Callithrix jacchus: one gene and its partners. The protein of the gene in region 2 interacts with the protein of the main gene of each other region in a pairwise test. Links are inferred from orthologs where the notes say so. Each region holds a gene or a part of one and is shown on either strand. Other genes may lie near its edges.

The links.
Region 1: the proteins of UBQLN4 (region 2) and SPP1 interact in a two-hybrid assay, tested with the Homo sapiens proteins (2 studies listed by BioGRID and IntAct). The link is inferred for Callithrix jacchus from reciprocal best matches to the Homo sapiens genes UBQLN4 and SPP1.
Region 3: the proteins of UBQLN4 (region 2) and PRPF40A interact in a two-hybrid assay, tested with the Homo sapiens proteins (2 studies listed by BioGRID and IntAct). The link is inferred for Callithrix jacchus from reciprocal best matches to the Homo sapiens genes UBQLN4 and PRPF40A.

What each region holds. Positions count from the first base shown.
Region 1 is NC_133504.1:109,663,331-109,668,954, reverse strand, and holds the end of SPP1 (osteopontin), read left to right. Parts: intron 1-235; coding exon 236-316; intron 317-582; coding exon 583-624; intron 625-1,666; coding exon 1,667-1,981; intron 1,982-2,675; coding exon 2,676-3,080; 3' UTR 3,081-3,589; downstream 3,590-5,624. UniProt on the Homo sapiens protein: Major non-collagenous bone protein that binds tightly to hydroxyapatite. Appears to form an integral part of the mineralized matrix. Probably important to cell-matrix interaction.
Region 2 is NC_133519.1:16,437,580-16,444,858, reverse strand, and holds the start of UBQLN4 (ubiquilin-4), read left to right. Parts: upstream 1-2,846; 5' UTR 2,847-2,948; coding exon 2,949-3,360; intron 3,361-5,425; coding exon of another isoform or gene 5,426-5,489; coding exon 5,490-5,577; intron 5,578-5,961; coding exon 5,962-6,179; intron 6,180-6,745; coding exon 6,746-7,008; intron 7,009-7,279. Other genes in the region: ragulator complex protein LAMTOR2, read right to left, coding at 1,536-1,698, 2,004-2,071. UniProt on the Homo sapiens protein: Regulator of protein degradation that mediates the proteasomal targeting of misfolded, mislocalized or accumulated proteins.
Region 3 is NC_133507.1:77,394,836-77,401,659, reverse strand, and holds part of PRPF40A (pre-mRNA-processing factor 40 homolog A), read right to left. Parts: intron 5,027-6,824; coding exon 4,916-5,026; intron 3,458-4,915; coding exon 3,337-3,457; intron 3,103-3,336; coding exon 3,049-3,102; intron 1,504-3,048; coding exon 1,479-1,503; intron 783-1,478; coding exon 408-782; intron 1-407.

The DNA.
Region 1 (5,624 bases), on a different chromosome or scaffold from region 2:
AATGAGAGGAACAAATGAGTTAGTATTTGGAAAGCAGTTTGAAAGAGTGCCTAGCCCACAGTAAGTGCTTCATAAGAATTTGAAAAAAAAAATATTACCAAAGGATATCTAAGGGTCTGGGTGACTCTACATGCATGCATATTATACTCAGTCATCAAGACTGGTGAAGAATGGTTGTTTTTTCAGTTCATCTGTTTCTTTTTTTGATAATGATAAACATGAAACTTTTTTGTAGCTTTACAACAAATACCCAGATGCTGTGGCCACGTGGCTAAAGCCTGACCCATCTCAGAAGCAGAATCTCCTAGCCCCACAGGTATTTTTAAACTTCTCAAAATTAAGCTATAACAATAAGAGACAGCTACAAGCAGGCCATTTGGGCTGGTCTGATGAATCCTGCCTGCCTGCTGGCAAATATGTGCTTAGGGCACTGATTGATCTGCCATGTTAGCTTCTTCCCTTGTTAAGCCATCCACTGATGAGGCTGAAAAATAAACACTGCTTTGAATCAAAAAGGTTAACTTTTGAATAAAAAAGCCAGGCAGGTGCGATGCACACTAATATGTGCCATTCCTTCTTCAGAATGCTGTGTCCTCTGAAGAAACTGATGACTTTAAACAAGAGGTAAGTTCTCATTTTCAATCAGAGGCCCATCATGACTTGAAGAAATGAAAGAAGCCATTGCGTGGGTTCTCTTCTGATGAAATTTCATTAGCAAATTTTCAAGTAAATTGGCAGTCTAAAATTTGCTCAGAAAGAAAACATTTATTTACTAAATATCAGAAATACTAGGTTTCCTCAGATAAGTTTACATTACAGGAAATGTTTATTAATGCTTGCTATTTGAAACATTAAGCTGCTTGCAATATATTTAAGGTATTTTGTAGTTATCTAATATCTAGTAAGCATCTAATTAATGCCTATCAAAGCTAAGATTTTGCCTTTAGGAAGTTTTCTTTCCTAATAAAATAGTTTATTCAACAACTATTCTTTTTGTTAGGATCATTCATATATTTGCTAAGCAAAGTGTAAATTTATTTTCCTTAAGATTCATTTTGAATATACTAAGAATATTAAAGCAAGTTAGATAAAGGACTCAATATATTTGTCAATTGGAAGTTTAATAGACATTGTTTAATTCAATGAACAGTTTTGAGCTGCAGTTTATATATACATGCATAACAGAGTCAGCTTACGATTATCCATGCTAATAGGGAAGTGATTATAGATTTTGGTACACACATTAAAATATGAATGCTCTTTTCTTTTGATAAATCTCATTTCAAATAGGAAAATCAGTCTCATAATTATGTATCTGTATCTATTACAACATTGAATTTAGTAAATTAAATAATGTTTAATATGTATAAGAAAAAACAATGTTATTAATATGAAGATTACACTCACATATTTGGCTTGAAAATATCTATGAAAATGATTTTTCTTAGAAAGTAAGAAAAGTTCCTCAGAATGTTATTATTTATCCCTGTGTTAAAAGTGAAATTGGAAGATGCTCACTTTAGCTCCTAAAAGCCATGGAGTGTACTATGAATGCAAAGATTCTGAAACTAAATAAAAAGAAAGACAGTAAAAGACTAATGTGCTATAAAGTCTAAGGGAAAATAAAAACCCATACGCTAATTTTCCTGGTCATCTTAATTTTCAGACCCTTCCAAGTAAGTCCAATGAAAGCCATGATGACATGGACGATGTGGATGATGATGATGATGATGACCATGTGGACAGCCAGGACTCGAATGACTCTGATGAAGTAGATCACACTGATGATTCTCACCAGTCTGATGAATCTCACCATTCTGATGAATCCGATGAACTGGTCACTGATTTTCCCACGGACCTGCCAGCAACTGAAGTTTTCACTCCACCTGTCCCCACAATAGACACATATGATGGCCGAGGTGATAGTGTGGGTTATGGACTGAGATCAAAATCCAAGAAATTTCGCAGATCTGACATCCAGGTAAATCCTTTAAAAGACATATCTGATGGTTCTGACTAGAGCTCAAGTCTAGGAAACCATAGTTTGCATATTCATTCATTCATTTGTCCATTCATTCATCCATTCAGCAAGAATTCATTCATATTCTACTTCATGATCAATGAATACAAATCTTTTTCTATTTGGTGGTTTTTGTAAGTCTACATAATTCCTCTCTAGATTGGATTCCCAAACACAATTCTATTTTTTCAAATCCTGAATCACTTACTTTTAGATTTAAAAAAATGGAAAACACTAATTATTTTAAAAATATAATGGTCATGTTTTCAAGTTAAATAACTAAGAGGAATTGTAGAGTTGCAAATTACACTGAATCCTTAGTCAGAGAATCTGGATTTGACATAGACTTGCCATTTACTATTCTCTTTACTTTTTAACTTCCAATTCACTTCCTCTTTATGTGAAACAGATATAATCAAACCTATCTCATAGGTTTCATTACATAAGTAAGTGATGTACTTATTAAACTAAAGGAGATAACATATGTGAAAGGGCTTGGTAAAGTACTATACAAAGTAACATGCTAATATTATTTCAGGAAGATTTAGACAATTTTTAGTACAAGATGGCCTAAATGTTAGAGAGCAGAAAAGGATTACCATATTCCCATCCCTAGCTGTTCATATAATTCTTCTTCATTTGTGCTGTGATTCAGTACCCTGATGCTACCGAGGAGGACATCACCTCACACGTGGAAAGCGAGGAGTTGAATGGTGCATACAAGGCCATCCCTGTTGCCCAGAGCCTGAACGTGCCTTCTGATTGGGACAGCCATGGGAAGGACAGTCATGAAATGAGTCAGCTGGATGACCAAAGTGCGGAAACCCACAGCCACGAGCAGTCCAGATTACATAAGCGGAAAGCCAGTGATGAGAGCAATGAGCATTCAGATGTGATTGATAGTCAGGAAGTTTCCAAAGTCAGCCGTGAGTTCCACAGCCATGAATTTCACAGCCAGGAAGATCTGCTCGTTGTAGATCCTAAAAGTACGGAAGAAGATAAACACCTGAAATTTCGCATTTCCCATGAATTAGATAGTGCATCTTCTGAGGTCAATTAAAACAAGAAAAAATACAATTTCTCACTTTTCTTTTAGTAGAAAGAAAAGATGCTTTATAGCAAAATGAAAGGGAATATGAAATGCTTATTTCTCAGTTTAGTGGGTGAATGTGTATCTATGTGAATCTGGAAATAACTAATGTGTTTGATCATTAGTTTAGTTTGTCATAGAAACTCCCTGTAAACTAAAAGCTTCAGGGTTATATCTATGTTCATTCTATAGAAGAAATATAAACTGTCACTGTATTTTAATGTTTGTTATTCTTTTATGAATAGAAATTTATGTAGAAGCAAACAAAATACTTTTACACACTTAAAAAATAACATTTTATGTCATTATGATCTTTCATTTTTTAAATTAGTGTATATTTTGTTGTGATTATCTTTCTTTTGTGGTGTGAATAAATCTTTCATCTCAAATGTAATAAGAATTTGGCGGTGTCAATTGCTTACTTGTTTTCCCACACTTGTCTAGCAATTAATAAAATATAACATTTTTTACTGCCTATGTAACATTTTTAAAGCTTTATTTTGGTTTTAATTGATACATAATAATTGTAGATATTTATGGGGTACTGTGTTGATGTTTTGATACATACATACACTGTATAATTATCAAAGGGTAATTATCATATCCATCACCTCAAACACTTGTCATTTCTTTGTAATGAGAATATTCAATCCTATGTTCTAGCTATTTTGAAGTATATGATACATTATTATTGACTCTAATCAACATACTGTGCAATAGAATACCAGAATTTATTCCTCCTAGCTAACTGTAACTTTGTACCCATTGACTAACCTCCCCCATCGACCTTCCTACTCTCTCTCCTGCTGGTAATCACTATTCTACTCTCTACTTCTATGAGGTCAACTTTTCCAGATTCCATATATGAGTGAGGTCATGTAGTACTTGTCCTTCGGTGCTTGGCTTATTTAACTTAACCTCCTCTAGGTTCACCTATGTTGTCAAAAATGCCAGGAGAAAACATGCACAAACTATGCATCTAAGAAAGAATTAAAATCCAGAACACATAAGGAACTCAAACAATGTAATATCAAGAAAAAGAAAAGAAAACTCAAATAATCCAATTAAAAATGGGTACAAATATGAATAGACATTTCTCAAAAGAAGACGTGCAAATGGCCAACAGGTATATGGAAAAATGCTCAACATCACTCACTAATTATCAGGGATATGCAAATCACAACCATTATGAGTTATCAACCCACCCAATTTAAAATGGCTTTTATCAAAGAGACAAAAAATAACAGATACAGGGCCAGGATTTGGGGAAAGAAGGACACTCGTATACTGGTAAGAAATGTAAATTAGTACAGCCACTATGAAAAACTTTATGGAGAACTGCTCAGAAAAACAAAAATAGAACTACTGTATTATTTAGCAATCCCATTGCTGAGCATATAACCAAAAGAAAAGAAATCAGTATGTGGAAGAGATATCTGAACTACCATGTTTATTGCAGCACTATTCGTAATAGCCAAGATGTGCAATCAGTGTAAATGTCCCTCATGATGAATAGTAAAACATGGTATATAAACACAATGGAATACTATTTGGCCATTAAAAGAAATTAAATCCTGTCATTTGGAGCAATGTGGATGGAACTGGAGGTCATTATGTTAAGTGAAATAAGACAGGCACAAAAAGACAAAGATCGCGTGTTCTCACCCATATATGGGAGCTAGAAAAGTGGATCGCGTAGAGATATACTGTAAATTGGTGGTTCCACCAGAGGGTGGAGAGGTGAAGGCTAGGGGCAGATGAAGACAGGTTGATTAACGGGTACAAATATACACTTAGGTAGAAGAAATAAGATTTAGCATTTGACAGTAGAGTAGGGTGACTATAAATAATTTATTGTATATACATTTGTTAAAAGCCCTAAAAGATGAGAATTCAAGTTCCCAACATAAAGAAAAGATAAATGTTTGAGGAAATGGGTATTTCAATCATGCTAACTGAATCATTATACACTAAATGCATGGACCAAAACATCACATGTGCCCCCAAAATATGGACACCTATTATGTATCAATTTAAAAAATAATCAATAGATTTAAAAGGAAGCTATACAGATATTAAACATATGAGTGAGTAACTTCACAGTCTTGGTGTGAGGAAACCTCTTCTAAGGATGAGAAGACAATGCCATGCCACAGTCCTTGTAGATTTCATTAGTCAGGTGCAGAAGCCCCTTTGGTTCCCAGCATACCTGCTTCAGTTGGCACTTCTCACACTCACCTGCAGGTGATGGCTGGATTGATGGTGCTGTTCCTGCACGCTTGGCACTGTGCCCAAATCCAAGGGCATGACCAAGTTAATCTTGAAATCGCTTATTTGAATAGTGGTACTGTTTAACAACTGCTCCTTGCGCCATTTCTCTATTAGTCAGGGTGCATTCAGAAGACAGAAAAGAGACCAGTAATTTGAACAGGAAAAAATTAATTTAAAGCATTAATAACTAGAAAGAGGGGGTAAACCAGAGAGGACAAAAGAGAACATTAACAATACCATGGG
Region 2 (7,279 bases):
AAACCAAGCACTGCACTCTCTGCCTCTCTGACACCATCTCCTACCACCCTCCATTCATTTTCATGCAGCTCCAGCCATACCAACCAACTCTGTTGATCCTTGGGCAGGCACAATTCTGCCTCAAGGCCTTCGTGCTTGCTGTTCTGTCCAAAATATTCTTCCCCTAGATAGCCACATGGCTTGCCATGACCTTTCTTCAGATCTTTGATCAAATGTCACCTTTTCAGTGAGACTGTCTCTGACACATACACCCAACAAACTCATACTTTCACTTCCCTCCTTTCTTTACATTGCATTTTCTTTTCTTTTTTTTTTTTTTTTGATACGGAGTTTCGCTATTGTTACCCAGACTGGAGTGCAATGGCACGATCTCGGCTCACCGCAGCCTCCGCCTCCTGAGTTCAAGCAATTCTCCTACCTCAGCCTCCCAAGTAGCTGGGACTACAGGCGCGCGCTACCATGCCCAGCTAATTTTTGTATTTTTAGTAGACACAGGGTTTCACCTCTTTGACCAGGATGGTCTCGATCTCTTGACCTCGAGATCCACCTGCCTCAGCCTCCCAAAGTGCTGGGATTACAGGCGTGAGCCACTGCGCCCGGCCTTACATTGCATTTTCAATACCTAACATACTACATATTTTACTTATTTTAAATAATGTGGCCGGGCACAGTGGCTCATGCCTGTAATCCCAGCACTTTGGGAGGCTGAGGCAGGTGGATCACTTGAGCCAAGAGATCGAGACCAGCCCGGGCAACATGGCAAAACCCAATCTCTGCAAAAAATGCAAAAATTAGGGAGGTGTGGTAGTGGATGCTTGTACTTCCAGCTACTTAAGAGGCTGAGACAGGAAGATCACCTGAGCCCAGGGAGGTCGAGGCTGCAGTGAGCCATTATTGTATCACTGTTAAGATTTATTAGGGCTGGGGGTTTTGCCTTTCTGTTTGCTATTTTTTTCCCTAGTCCTGAGAACACTACAAGGACCTAAATACTTATTGACTAAACAGATACTAAGAGGTTCACAAGCTAACGGCAACTTCCCCTTTCTGGACTTCATTTTCCCTTGTTTGTAACCGTGAGGGGTTGGACTAGGGTCTGGAGACCACCATGGTTCTGTGAGTCGGCGAGGCTGGGATGACAACACTTCGTGTTTGCACATCGTTCTACTGTTTATACCCATTATTTCATCCGATCTTCACAACCATCCAGGAGGGGAGCGGGAAAAGGGAAATAGCTGCTTCCTCCTTAGACATGAGGTAAGGAAGCTGAGAGAGGTTAGGCGACTTACCCAAGGTTCCACAACTGATAAGTGGATGGCTGAAACCAGAACCCAAGTCAGACCTCTCAGGTCCAGGGCTCCTTCCTCACCACCATTTGATGAATAGGGTCCTGCCTATTACGAATGCTGCTGCAGACCAACTCTTAGTAATCTTCCGGAGACACTGTCCCTGCCCCTCCAACCATCCAGGATGGGGTCCGGGTCACCCCCTTGGGATCCCCTTGGGGGGCAGGGGAAGTCTGGCTTCCCTCTCCATACCATGCAGTCCATGAGGATGAATTTGAGATTGTCTTCATTAAACGCTTGGTTCCCATTCCGGTCGTAGGCGGCCCAGATGTTACTGGCTATGGCCGCAGTGACCCGAGCGTCAGTGTCCCCGTAACCCGAGTAGGCCAGCAGTGATCCCTCGTTATTCAGCAGCCTGGTGAGGGGCGGGGAAGGATAACGTTGTGCCCAGGACAGAGAGTAAAACGCCTGGGTTTCCAGCCCAAGTCCCACCACTAGCACAGCCAGCAAGGGTCTGGGCTTAGTGTGTCCTGGAACGCGCCCTAAGCACCCAGCACACCGGCTTCCCTTTTCGAGAGGGTATCTACTGGCCAGCACTCCCAGCCGCTGCCCGCTCTGCCGCCTCCTCCCTTCCCGGCGATCCTTCCCCACCCCTCCCTCAGGGAGCCGCGCGCAGCCCAACTACGGGGCTGGCCGCTCGGGTCCGTGGTCCGCACTCACAGGGTGCTCTGGACTCCTCCAGTGTTGGCTTGGCTTAGCACCTGGGTTAAAGCCTTGGGGCGCAACATGCCTACGGCTTCTAACCCTGGGCTTTTGCACCCAGATCCTCCGAGGTGCCTCCCGCGAGCCGCTGACTTCTGCTTCCCGTAGTCCCGTGGCCTGCTTCCAAACGCCCTGGGAGTTGTAGTTTCCTCGCCTGGTTATTGTAGTTCCGACTCAACTCCCCACCCCGCCGCGGGCGGCTCTGGGAATCGTAGTTCCTTGTGGCCTCGCGAGGCACCCTGGGAACTATAGTTCGCCTTTCCAGGCTGACCACGCGGTTGCGGGGGGCAAAAAGAGCGGGAGTGGAAGGACAGTGGCAGCACTGGAAGGACATTTAACTCCTTCGGGGAGAAAGGAGTCAACGTGTCCGCTTGGCAGTCCACGATTCAATAATTAGACTACATCCTTATATTTGTCAGGCATGCCTTTGGTTACTTTCAAAACAGTTTTCTCCGTTATGCACAATTTTGTGCGATGAGGCGAGGGGAACTGTTACTATTATCTTGAGAAAACCAAGGCTCAGAAAGGCCACGCAGCCAAAACCCAACTCCCTGGAACCATTCTTAATAGACCAGTTAGGCCGTGACCCTCGGAGCTATAGGGTCAGTCCCAGAGCTAAGATCCTAAGGACTTAACTTGGTGGGAAAACCCAACCTCCAGGTCGGGAAAGGCCCCTGGCCTGGAAAGGACTTTGGGCTTCCAAGAAAGACCAAGTTATTACAGGGAATGGAGATAAAGCGGCGACACAGAAAGTCCTTTGTCCCGGAGCGGAGTTAGACGCGGAGGGGGCGGGGAAGCTTTGGGCTGGAAGGGACCGCGGCACGGCTCTGGCGGGCAGCGTTGGGCCTCTGTCTCCCCGAGGAGTCCGTCCCCGCCCCCGCAGTGAAGGGCACGCCCCTCCCCATGCCCAGAGCGCCCCCCAGGGGCCCCAGCCTGGCGAGCCCCGGGCCTGGCTCCGGACCCGGGGCTCGGCCCTGGGCGGAACCCGCTGCAGTGGCCCCCCCGGTCCGCCCGGGGCGCTGTGGCTGCGGCTGGTCCGGAGGGGGCGGTGAAGCCTCGGGGAGGGGAGGAGAGAGGAGGGGAGGAAGGGGAGAGGTGGAGAGAGGGGAGTGTTGGAGGCGCTGGAGCCGAGCCGGGCTGGCCGGGCGGGCGGGGAGGAGGAGGAGCTGGACGGGCTGGCGGGCGGCCGGGTGGCGGCGGCGGCGGCATGGCGGAGCCGAGCGGGGCCGAGACGAGGCCCCCCATTCGGGTCACCGTCAAGACCCCCAAGGACAAGGAGGAAATTGTAATCTGCGATCGAGCCTCGGTCAAGGAGGTAGTACGGCTGGCGGGGGGCGGAGGGAGCGCGGAGGAGGGGTCTGTGAAGAGATGGGGGGCCCTCCCTGAGGTTCTGGCGTCCCGGAGGGCCCCGGAGAGGAGGGCGAGGGCCAGCTGGGACTCCGTGGAGCTGGAGGAAGGGAGAGGCGGGTAGGGGGCGCCCTGCGAGGGGAGATCTAGGGGAGCGTGGCGCGTGTTGAGGGGCGGGTTTTGCCGTGTGGCCTGGGCTGGGGGCGTGGTGGAGAGTGAGGAGGGGACACTTTGCACCGGGAAGAGGGAAGGATCCTGGGTTTGAGGGGAGTGTACCCGAGTGGAGGCCGCGGCAAGGTGCTAACCGAGAGAAGTGGCCGGGGGCTGGCGAAGAGCGCCGGCGCCTACTCGGTGCCTCAGAGAACGCCCAGTGTTCTGTGAGCGGCGGGGCTGTCGGGGGAGGATTTCCCTGTGCCCAGATCCTTCCCACTCTTTCAAATCGACGTGGTTACATTTGGTTCTCAGCTCTTCTGAGATTTACACGGTGTGCAGTAGGTGCTCAATAAAATCTTGTTGAATGAGGGACTGTTGCCTGTGTTCGCCACCCCCTGTGGCCACTCCATAATTTCACATAGGCGGGGCTTAAGACAGGCCATCTGGTTGGAAGAGAGGGATCTGGAAGCTGCCTCTGCTTAACAAGTGCACTGTTTTTACTTAAAGTGTGTGTTGTGTTGTGTTGTGTTGTGTTGTGTTGTGGAGGGGCCAATAGAATTTGGGGAGTCTAACTCCATCTTTTCTCCCTCCCTAACCACAGAGAATTACTAAATTTCAGAATTTAAATACCGTACTGTTCCTTGCAAAGCCGAATTTGAAAACGGCTTTCATTGAGAGGTAGTGTGTTTAGGTGAGAGCCTGGACTTTGGTGTCAAGCTTTGAGTTCTGTTCTGCCTAGGGCAAGTTACCTTATCTTGCTGATTCTTTGAGGCTGGCGTGATGGCTCTTGCCTGTAATCTCAGCACTTTGGAAGCCCAAGCCTGGTGATCACCTGAGGTCAGGAGTTCAAGACCTGCCTGGCCAACATGGTGAAGCCCCCTCTCTACTAAAAATACAAAATTAAGCCGGGCATGGTGGTGTGTGCTTGTAGTCCCAGCCACTCGGGAGGCTGACGCAGGAGAATCACTTGCACCCGGGAGATGGAGGTTGCAGTGAGCCAAGATCGCACCACTGCACTCCAGCGTGGGTGACAGAGCAAGATCTCAAGATAAATATAACAATAAATAAAATGAAGATAATAATTAATATACTAGATCTTTAACTCGTGCATAGATAGTGCTCAGTAGCTGGCATCTACTTGTTGTAGTTGTTACAAGAACACTGGGAATAGAGAGGAGAGAAAATTGGGTCTCAGAAGGCTAAAGGTCCAAGGCTGTTGACCTAGTTGAGACGGGGCCGGGGGGACGTTGAGGGGGAATGGGGAGGCTGCCCTGCCTCACAGAGAACTAGGTGGAGGGACTTAAGCTGGGAGGCAGATAGCAGCAAGGGCTTTCTACAGTGGGAGACAAGAGCCTCTCACTGGTCCATCTCCTTTGTTAAGAAAGGAGATGCTTATTACAGCTGGAGGAATGGTGTTGAGACCACAGAAACGACTTCCCATGAAAGAACTTCCCAGCCGGGCATGGTGGCTCACGCCTGTAATCCCAGCACTTTGGGAGGCTGAGGCGGGTGGATCACAAGGTCAAGAGATCAAGACCATCCTGGTCAACATGGTGAAACCCCGTCTCTACTAAAAATACAAAAAAATTAGCTGGGCACAGTGGCGCGTGCCTGTAATCCCAGCTACTCAGGAGGCTGAGGCAGGAGAATTGCCTGAACCCAGGAGGCGGAGGTTGCGGTGAGCCGAGATTGCGCCATTGCACTCCAGCCTGGGTAACAAGAGTGAAACTCTGTCTCAAAAAAAAAAAAAAAGAAAGAAAGAAAGGACTTCCCATGACTAGAGATGAGAGCAAGAGAGTACAGAAGCTGTTAAAGAGTCAGGGTCCCTGGTAGGGCGAGTCCAGGCAGCCTCCACAGTGACCTCTGCCTCTTGATCACAGTTCAAAGAGGAAATCTCCCGGAGGTTTAAGGCTCAGCAGGATCAGCTGGTCCTGATCTTCGCAGGCAAGATCCTCAAGGATGGGGACACACTGAACCAGCATGGAATCAAGGACGGGCTCACTGTCCATCTGGTCATCAAGACCCCTCAGAAGTAAGTTCAGGAGCAGAGCAGATCCAGCTTCTCACTGGGCCTCCCAGTCTGATACTTTCTCACTCATTGCTCAGCTGTACCCAGAAGGCCTATCTATGCTGAGGCCCCAGCAGGTAGCTCCTAGATGAATATGATCTCATCTCTAGGGGAGGAGAAGCTGATTTACCACTCCCAGAATGCCCTGAAGACAGATAATAGTAGCTGCTTTCTCCCTCTCCCTGGTGTGCTGACTGCCCCTCAGCCATCCCCCAGCCCCAGCATCAAGGCTGCTCAGGAGGAGGCTTGGGTTAAAACAGTAGTCCCATGGCAAGCACAGAGATTGTCCCAGTACCTTCCCTCTTCTAGTGCTCACTCCAACTAGGATTCTCCTTTCTCTGTCCTCAGGGCTCAAGATCCAGCCGCTGCCACTGCTTCCTCCCCTTCCACACCTGACCCTGCCTCAGCACCCTCCACCACGCCTGCTTCACCCGCCACCCCTGCACAGCCCTCCACCTCTGGCAGTGCCTCTTCGGATGCTGGCGGTGGAAGCCGGAGGAGCAGTGGGGGGGGGCCCTCTCCAGGGGCTGGAGAGGGACCCCCCAGTGCTACTGCGTCCATACTGTGTAAGCCCTCAGAGAGGAGAACACAATCTTGTTTGGGGTTGGGGAGTTGGGGAACGCCTAGAGGAGGGAGAAGCATGGTTCCTGCCCCTGCTCTGATGGGGATAGGGGACTCCATAGAGTTTCAGACATTGATATTTGATTCAAGCTGGGAAGGAAACTAGTCTGAGGAGTTCCCAGAGGTGGGGACAATGGCTAAGAGTTAGGAGTTGGGGGAGAAATGGGGTTGGGGATGTGGAGAACCCTGGGTAAAGAGAGTGGAAGACCCTGTGAGTCTGGGGAAAAGTTGGATCCAGCAGTAGCCAGATGGGCTACTCATTCAACCATTGCTGGTTGCCTTCTCTCTGCTCAGTTCTGTGTTTGGCACAGCCTCAGCCTTCAGAGAGGTCTCAGCCTAGTAGGCTCACATTTTTTTGCCAGCAATGGATCAGGGCCGGGCTGTGGGAGTGATTGGAAGAGGGACGTGTGAGAAGCATTTGGGGCCTGTCATGGAGACCTGAATTCAGTAGCTCTGGCTAGGAGAGGAATGGGCTCTTGTGGCAGACTGTGACCCTGCCCCCTTCCCACAGCTGGCTTTGGGGGCATCCTGGGGCTGGGCAGCCTGGGCCTGGGCTCTGCCAACTTTATGGAGCTGCAGCAGCAGATGCAGAGGCAGCTGATGTCCAATCCTGAGATGCTGTCACAGATCATGGAGAACCCCCTGGTCCAGGATATGATGTCGAACCCTGACCTGATGCGTCACATGATCATGGCCAACCCCCAGATGCAGCAGCTGATGGAGCGGAACCCCGAGATCAGCCACATGCTCAACAACCCTGAACTCATGAGGCAGGTGGGTATGAGAGGGCTGGAGAGCTGGAGGACACTGGTGCCCAGCCATGCCCTGCTCAGCCTTTCCTTCCTTGTCCTACATTGATTTGTCCACTTGTGTATTCAGCAGTTTTGAACACTGGAGGTACAGCGATGAAAAGACAGGCCTAGCTTTTCAGGAATTCCAGTGTCAAAGGGAAGTGGGACAAGTAAACTGGCAATTAGCATACCGTGTGGTCAGTGCTATTGGAAGGATAATCACAGGATCCCCTAGGAGCATAGAGAAGAGCTCC
Region 3 (6,824 bases), on a different chromosome or scaffold from region 2:
ATACTAATAAGCCAAAGAAGATAAGAGTATAGCTATCTTAACTGAAAATACCGATAGTTTGTTATTCATTAATTTTTGCATTGATCTCATGTAAAACACTGCATTGAAATATGATATATCCTGCTTACTAAGGTTTCTGGCAATCTTTTAGATTTGTACCCCAACTCCCTAGCCTTGGCTCTACTTGCTACAATTCCTGTGAACTATTTTTCACGTTTGCAGCATGACCCTCCAAAACCCGGCCTGAAAACTGAAAAAACTACCTAATGGCTTGATGTTATGATTCTCAAAAAAAAAAAAAAAAAAAAAAAAATTATTTAAGCAATCATTGGTCACTAACTAAACTGAAAATTATTTTATTAATGAAATCTGGTACTGATTTTCAGAAGACAAGTTACTAAACTTACTCAGCTACAGTTTCTTGCTTAGATGTTTCTTCTCCAGTATTACTGGATACTTCCACACTTTGATCCTGAATAGCAGGGGTACTAGTAAGTTGTGCTTGTTCCTCAGTTGAAATAGTTACTGTATTCTCATTATCTACAACAGTAGCAACAATGGAAGTAACTTCTGGCTCAGGAACAACTGGAACAGTTCCACTGACAGTATTAGAAGTAGAAGTGGAAGCATTAGCATTGGCTGCAGCAGCAGCTGCTGCAGCTGCTGCTGCAGCTGCAACAACAGCAGCTGCTGCTTCTGCTGCAGCCATGGTGCTCATTGTCGTCGGAATTTCTGTTGTAGGGACTGGGGCTGTTGATGTTGTGGTGCACTCTTCTTGCTTACTATACATTAAAAAAAGAGAACAATGGTCACTTGGTTATTGTAATCAGAAAGATAAATCAAGCTTGCTTTAAAATTGTCATAAAATCAAATGATTTAAGAGAAATAACTGAAGGAAAAAACAGCAAGAAATGCCAAACCCATTAAAAAAAAATTTTTAAATCAGACTGTAACTATACTACTTTGACTTCATTCAGTAAACATTCATGGTAATGTATTACAGGAACTCACACAAGTGTGTGCATTTCTAAAAGTTCAGTCAGCGCTCACATTACAAAATGCCCAATCTATCAGATTGTATCTCACCATAAAAATCTGACCTATATGAAAAGTTCTCTAAGAACTTTAAATTTTCTACAATCCACTCATTTAGAGGAAACGCTGTGTAAAGGAAGAGAAACACAGATATATTTCATCTACTCCCTAATCAACTCAAATTGAATTTTGGGCTTTAACCTAACAGTCTTAATTTGCAAGTGATACAGTCCAAATTCTAATAATTAATGTATAGCAAAGCATCAAATTGAGTAAGTATCCCTCTTCGTAATATTTTCTCAACGAAATGCAAAAAGGAGATCAAAATATCAAACCTAACATGTTAAATAATTATTTTTATTATAAAGAAAACTGAGCAAACAGAAGGATGTTATAAGAGAGACCAAATTTGTAAATAAAAATTGATGTCCAAAATTGCTTACCTGCTTTCTTCAGCTTTGATCATTGCTATTAAAGAGAGAAAAAGAGTCATCAACTAGTTTTAAAATATAATCCTGAAAATAAACTTAAAAGAAGATAAGATACCATATAATAGGATTTCATTTGCCATCCTAAAAAACAGAAAATCACTTTTATAGAACAAATTCTTGCTCCAATGTTCTAGTATAGCAAATAAAGACTAAAACAAATTTAAATAATAATTACTAGGAAAGCTTATTTCATGCTGCTACTTTCCCAAAGGCTGCTGTAACAACTCTATGAAAGTATCTGCATAATTCTGGAAGAAAACAGTATTTTCTCCAGGGATGAGACTAGTTTGATATATTTTAAAGATACTAACTTCAAAATGGGATCAAATTTATTACAAAATTCCAGCACATATATACTAGCATTGACAAGTAGATAGATAGTTATGCACACCAACTATTCGTAGTAGGGTTATATCAGAAATGAGCTTGATACTTCATAAGTGATCAACTGGGAAACTACCTATCTACAATATTATTGTTAGCCAATGCTAGTATAGGTAACTTAAACTGAGCTTTAAAGATCTGTATTATTTTGGTTTTCATTCCAGTATATTTTCCTTCAGATGTAACAAAAATATGTTTTATTCGACATCATTAGGGAATGAGATTCTCCACATTAAGTGATAATGTAAGCCTAACTCTTTATAAAAATATTTTAAAACTTACCACCCTTTAAAGAAAAACATTTCTGAAAATCTGTTTAGGATGGCTGAAAAAACATACTTAAAAAGTTATCACTACTAATATAATTAACATTTTTCTGATACAATGATAATCTAACTAATGAGGTCGCACAAAGACGACAGTGTCTTCTAGGAAATTTTTATTACCTTTCCTGCCAGATGTCATTCCACATCACTATCTACTTTATTAGCCCCATTCTCCTACAGTCTGCTGCTTCTAATTCGGTATATTTTATGACACTAGATTCTATCAAAAGTGAGTATGAAAACTAGATTTTCAATTCTTACTCATTATCTCTATTTTAAGTCTTAGGTTTTATATTTAGTATTAGGTATTTCTAGGTTTTTAAGGGTTATTCTGATTAGTTCAATGTTGAAAAATTCTCCCTTTATAAGAAAGGTGGGATACTTGGTTTACCTTAATTCTTCCATAACGAACATATCAAGGTTATTTTGCAACGTAAAGCTAAAACAAAACCAGCATTAAATATATAGTCTGACAATATACTAACAAAATATAAATGGATAAAGATTCAAGGATCTCTACTATGTACTCATGAATGAGTTAAAAACAAATATTCTATGCACCAACACTCGTAGTAGGATTTAGAAATTTTGTATATGAAATCCTTGTTCAATTGAATGATAAACAATTTTTTTCTAAAAATCAGAGTACAATTTTAAAAGCTACAAGCTCATTTATAATATAACCCTTTAATGAAAGGAATTCTTAGATTTTTTTCACTGCAGATTTATCCAATCATGGTTAGTGAATATTAGTGACATACTCTAATAAAAACGTTAGGTATGACAGAAAATGAATTATCAAAGCAGCTCACCATGCAGGTTTGATTTTGTAATAAGACTTCCAGCAACAATGGTATTCTGGTATCCTAGTTTCAGTGGAATCAAATCAAATAAAAATCTATTTAAAATCTATAAACTGAGATCTAGAGCAACAAGAAAATAAGAGCCCAACAAACTGTTATATCATTTTAAATGTTTTAATCATTTAATTTAAAAAAAAAGGCCTTTGTTTGAACAATCCTATTGTGGAGGAATTGTTTCAAAGTGAATGGCATACATATATAAAAGATATACATTAAAACTACTTTTTCCCATTTTACCTTCAAGATCCTCAAGTTCTTTAGGTTTGGCCCAGCGAGATTCTTTTGTTTGAGAATTATAATAGTAAGGCTTTCCAGAATCTGATTTGTATTCCTTCCAGGGGCATTTAGATAAGAGTTGCTAAAGAGAAAAAAAAAAACCTGTCTGTTAATAATAATATATTTAGCATCACTATCATTTTCATGTCTATTTTCACTAATTACCAATTATGATATAATTCTAAAACTTGTGAAATGATGCGAATAATATAAACTATCAATTACTGAATACTCAGAGTGATGTCATTTGCATATATTATTTAATCTTTGTAACACTGCAAAATGTATGACATAATTCCATATCTAGGGACTGTTACTTGAAGTCAGAAAGTAATGCGTTTAAGGTAATACACTCATTAAAAAGCAGAACCAAGATTCAAAATCAGTTGTATATAAATTTCAAATCCTATTTACTCTTATCATTCACACCCCATTACAGGTAAAGATTATCATCCATATTTAATAGTCTTCTCAAATACTAACATTAGTTGGAAAACCACAAAAGTTGGAAAAAGACAGTATCTAGTTTAGTCATGCTCAGATTTCAGTTTTGTAGTTTATTATAACTCTGTATGAACTAACTTATGTAAGCAAACATGTAGGTATAATATACTTAAAATCTAATACACAAAACCTGTTAGGGTGGCATGAGAAATCTATCCAAAGGTTGTATCCAGACACAGTGTCTTGGACAAAGTACAGAATTAATATTGACTATTAATCAGTACTGGAATACATGTTTTTAAAAATCTACCATACCAACCTCCCCTCCCAAGCATTGCTGTATCAGTGTGGGGACCTGGAGAATACTCTTACCTTCTCCAATTCCTTCATTAGGAAGAGAAGAAAACAAAAAGGTATACCACCAGCTACAATGAAACCTAAGCACAGCAATCTTAAATGCCAGATCAACTCTTACTTACTTAGCACCCCAGAGTTTCTAACTAAACCACATGCAACATTGCTTAATTCAGTTTATTTCTTCAACCTTAACTCTTTCTTCAGTATCTGTACATTTTGAATGGTAAAAATTAAAACACAGAATGAAATAAGACACTTTTCAAAACAGCATTTCCTGCAAAGAGAAAATCTCCCACTCTAAGAGAAGGTACTTTAAGGTAACTTAACTTCATTCATCTTCACTACTCTTAACCCTACCGGAAATTTAAAAACTCAGTAGAAGTCACTTAAAATCACCCAGTTTCGCTACAAACAGAAAAAAATAAAGGGCGAGCAAAGAAACAGTCTTCCCGCTTCCAATTTATTCTTTAAATCACATTTCTTAAATTGATCTCATTCTACTACGTTTCCTGAGCAGGGGCAAAATTACTAAATAAGATTAATCTGATGAGTTTTATTGCTCTTCTTCCTGATCAGCTTGACTACATTAATCCTCTTTTTTTTCCTGAATGCCTTTACAGATCCTCTTCTGGCATTTAAGCAATACTGCTCTTTGGATAGTCAACTACTTACAAAATCCTAAAAAAATATGTCCCAGTTGACTTGACGGTTCCTGAGTTCTAGTCCTCAAAACTTTTACCTCAGCAGGTGTTTTAAGATCATCCGGTTTCTCCCAGGTAGACTGTTTGGTTTCAGTGTTGTAGTAGTAAGTCCTTCCATCAGGTGATTTATGTTCAGTCCACATAGATTTCTAAAGATTAAAGATTACAAAAAGATATAAATTATTTAACAATGCTACTGACAATGAATATCAATATCATTAGTTCCAAGGCAATAAATATATTAGGAAATCAATTAAAAGTATAAACTGGGCATATTTTGACAGTCAGGATCTCTCTAAATAACAAAGATAAGACTACTCTCCTAAGAATAGTAACTTTATAACTTACATACACAAAACAGTCTTTCAGAATATAAATCTAAGCCTAGTGTATAAAAGAAAATATAGGAACTAGATGCCAATATAGTTGAATTGACCATGTGATCATCTATTCATCTACTCTAGTCCAAAAAATACTTGTATCATCTTAGACAAAGTTCTAATTGACATGCCATAAAGACACAGCTGTACAAACTGGAAAACATAGGTACTGGACAACAATCAAAATTTAACTATCAACAAGATGAAATTTAACATGGATAAAATGTGTATGTGAATGCCTCAAAACCATAAAGGTAAGATAAGATTTTACATGAATGAAACTGGTTTGATATAGAATATAAATCCACTATTAAGGTCAACAGAACACACAAAGAACCTACTAGAAGTTGCCAATGATACTTCAGGAAACTCTAGACATCCCTCAGATAAAGGTTGGTTAAAAGTTTTAAAAGGCATCATGAATGAATCAATGATGTTATCAAAGGCAGTAAATCTACTTCCAAGTAAAAGATTTTTCAGATGGTGACAAATTTTACTATGCTTGAAGGAGGGTTACAAAAATGATGTATAGTATTTCTTCAAATTTAAGACATATGATTATACAAACCTTTAAGAAAAAATAAAGTCACTGCCAAATGATCACATGCTTTTTTATCACTCAGATTTTACTTCAAACTTACTGATAGTCTTACTTACACATTAATTTTAACATATACCACTTTTAGGCATGCGTTAACAAGAAAAATAGGCAAATGAAGCACTTAAGAGATCCCTTATATTTCCTCACATTGAGACTTTCTATGTCAGAGTTGCTGATGTCCATTATATTCCAAATATAACCATCAAATATATTGGTAATATGGTATATCTTTAAAAAATAATAAAGTGAAAAATCACTGGTACTGGTTCCTAATGTCTTTTGTACTTATTTAAAAAGCTGATTTACTTTTTCTTATCAATTTTAAAAAGAACTGACCTAGTGTTGATTTTTGTTTTGGGAATGTGACTGAACATAATGGGATTCAATTCTTTACCAATTTTTTCACCTTAATCATTTTATTCCTAGTTCCTAAGGGAGTGATGTTACTTTTATGATTTTCCTTGAAACCAATGATGTGGGTACTTTTGCTGTTTACTCATGCACAACTGCTAACCTGACAATGGAGGTCACAGACACTATGGATTACAGCAGGGGTCTCTAACCCCCAGGCCATGGACCACAGCGCAGTTCCAGTCCGTGGTCTGTTGGGAACCGGGTTGCACAGCAGGCACTGAGTAGTGGGTAAGCCAGCAAAGCTTCATTTGTATTTACAGCCACTCTCCCATTGCTCACATTACCTTGTGAGCTCTGTCTCCTGTCCTATCAGTGGTGGCATCGGTTTCTCATAGGACTGGAAACCCTAACATGAACTGCGCAAGTGAAGGATCTAGGCTGCATGCTTCTTATGGGAAACTAATGCCTGATAATCTGCCACTGTCTCCCAACTAGACCATCCTATCTGCAAGAAATTTCTGCATGCTGTAGCAGAATAATTAGACAATTCCCAAGCTGTGTTAAATTCTAGCACCTTATACTGGATAAAACCACCATAATATCTCTTAAGCA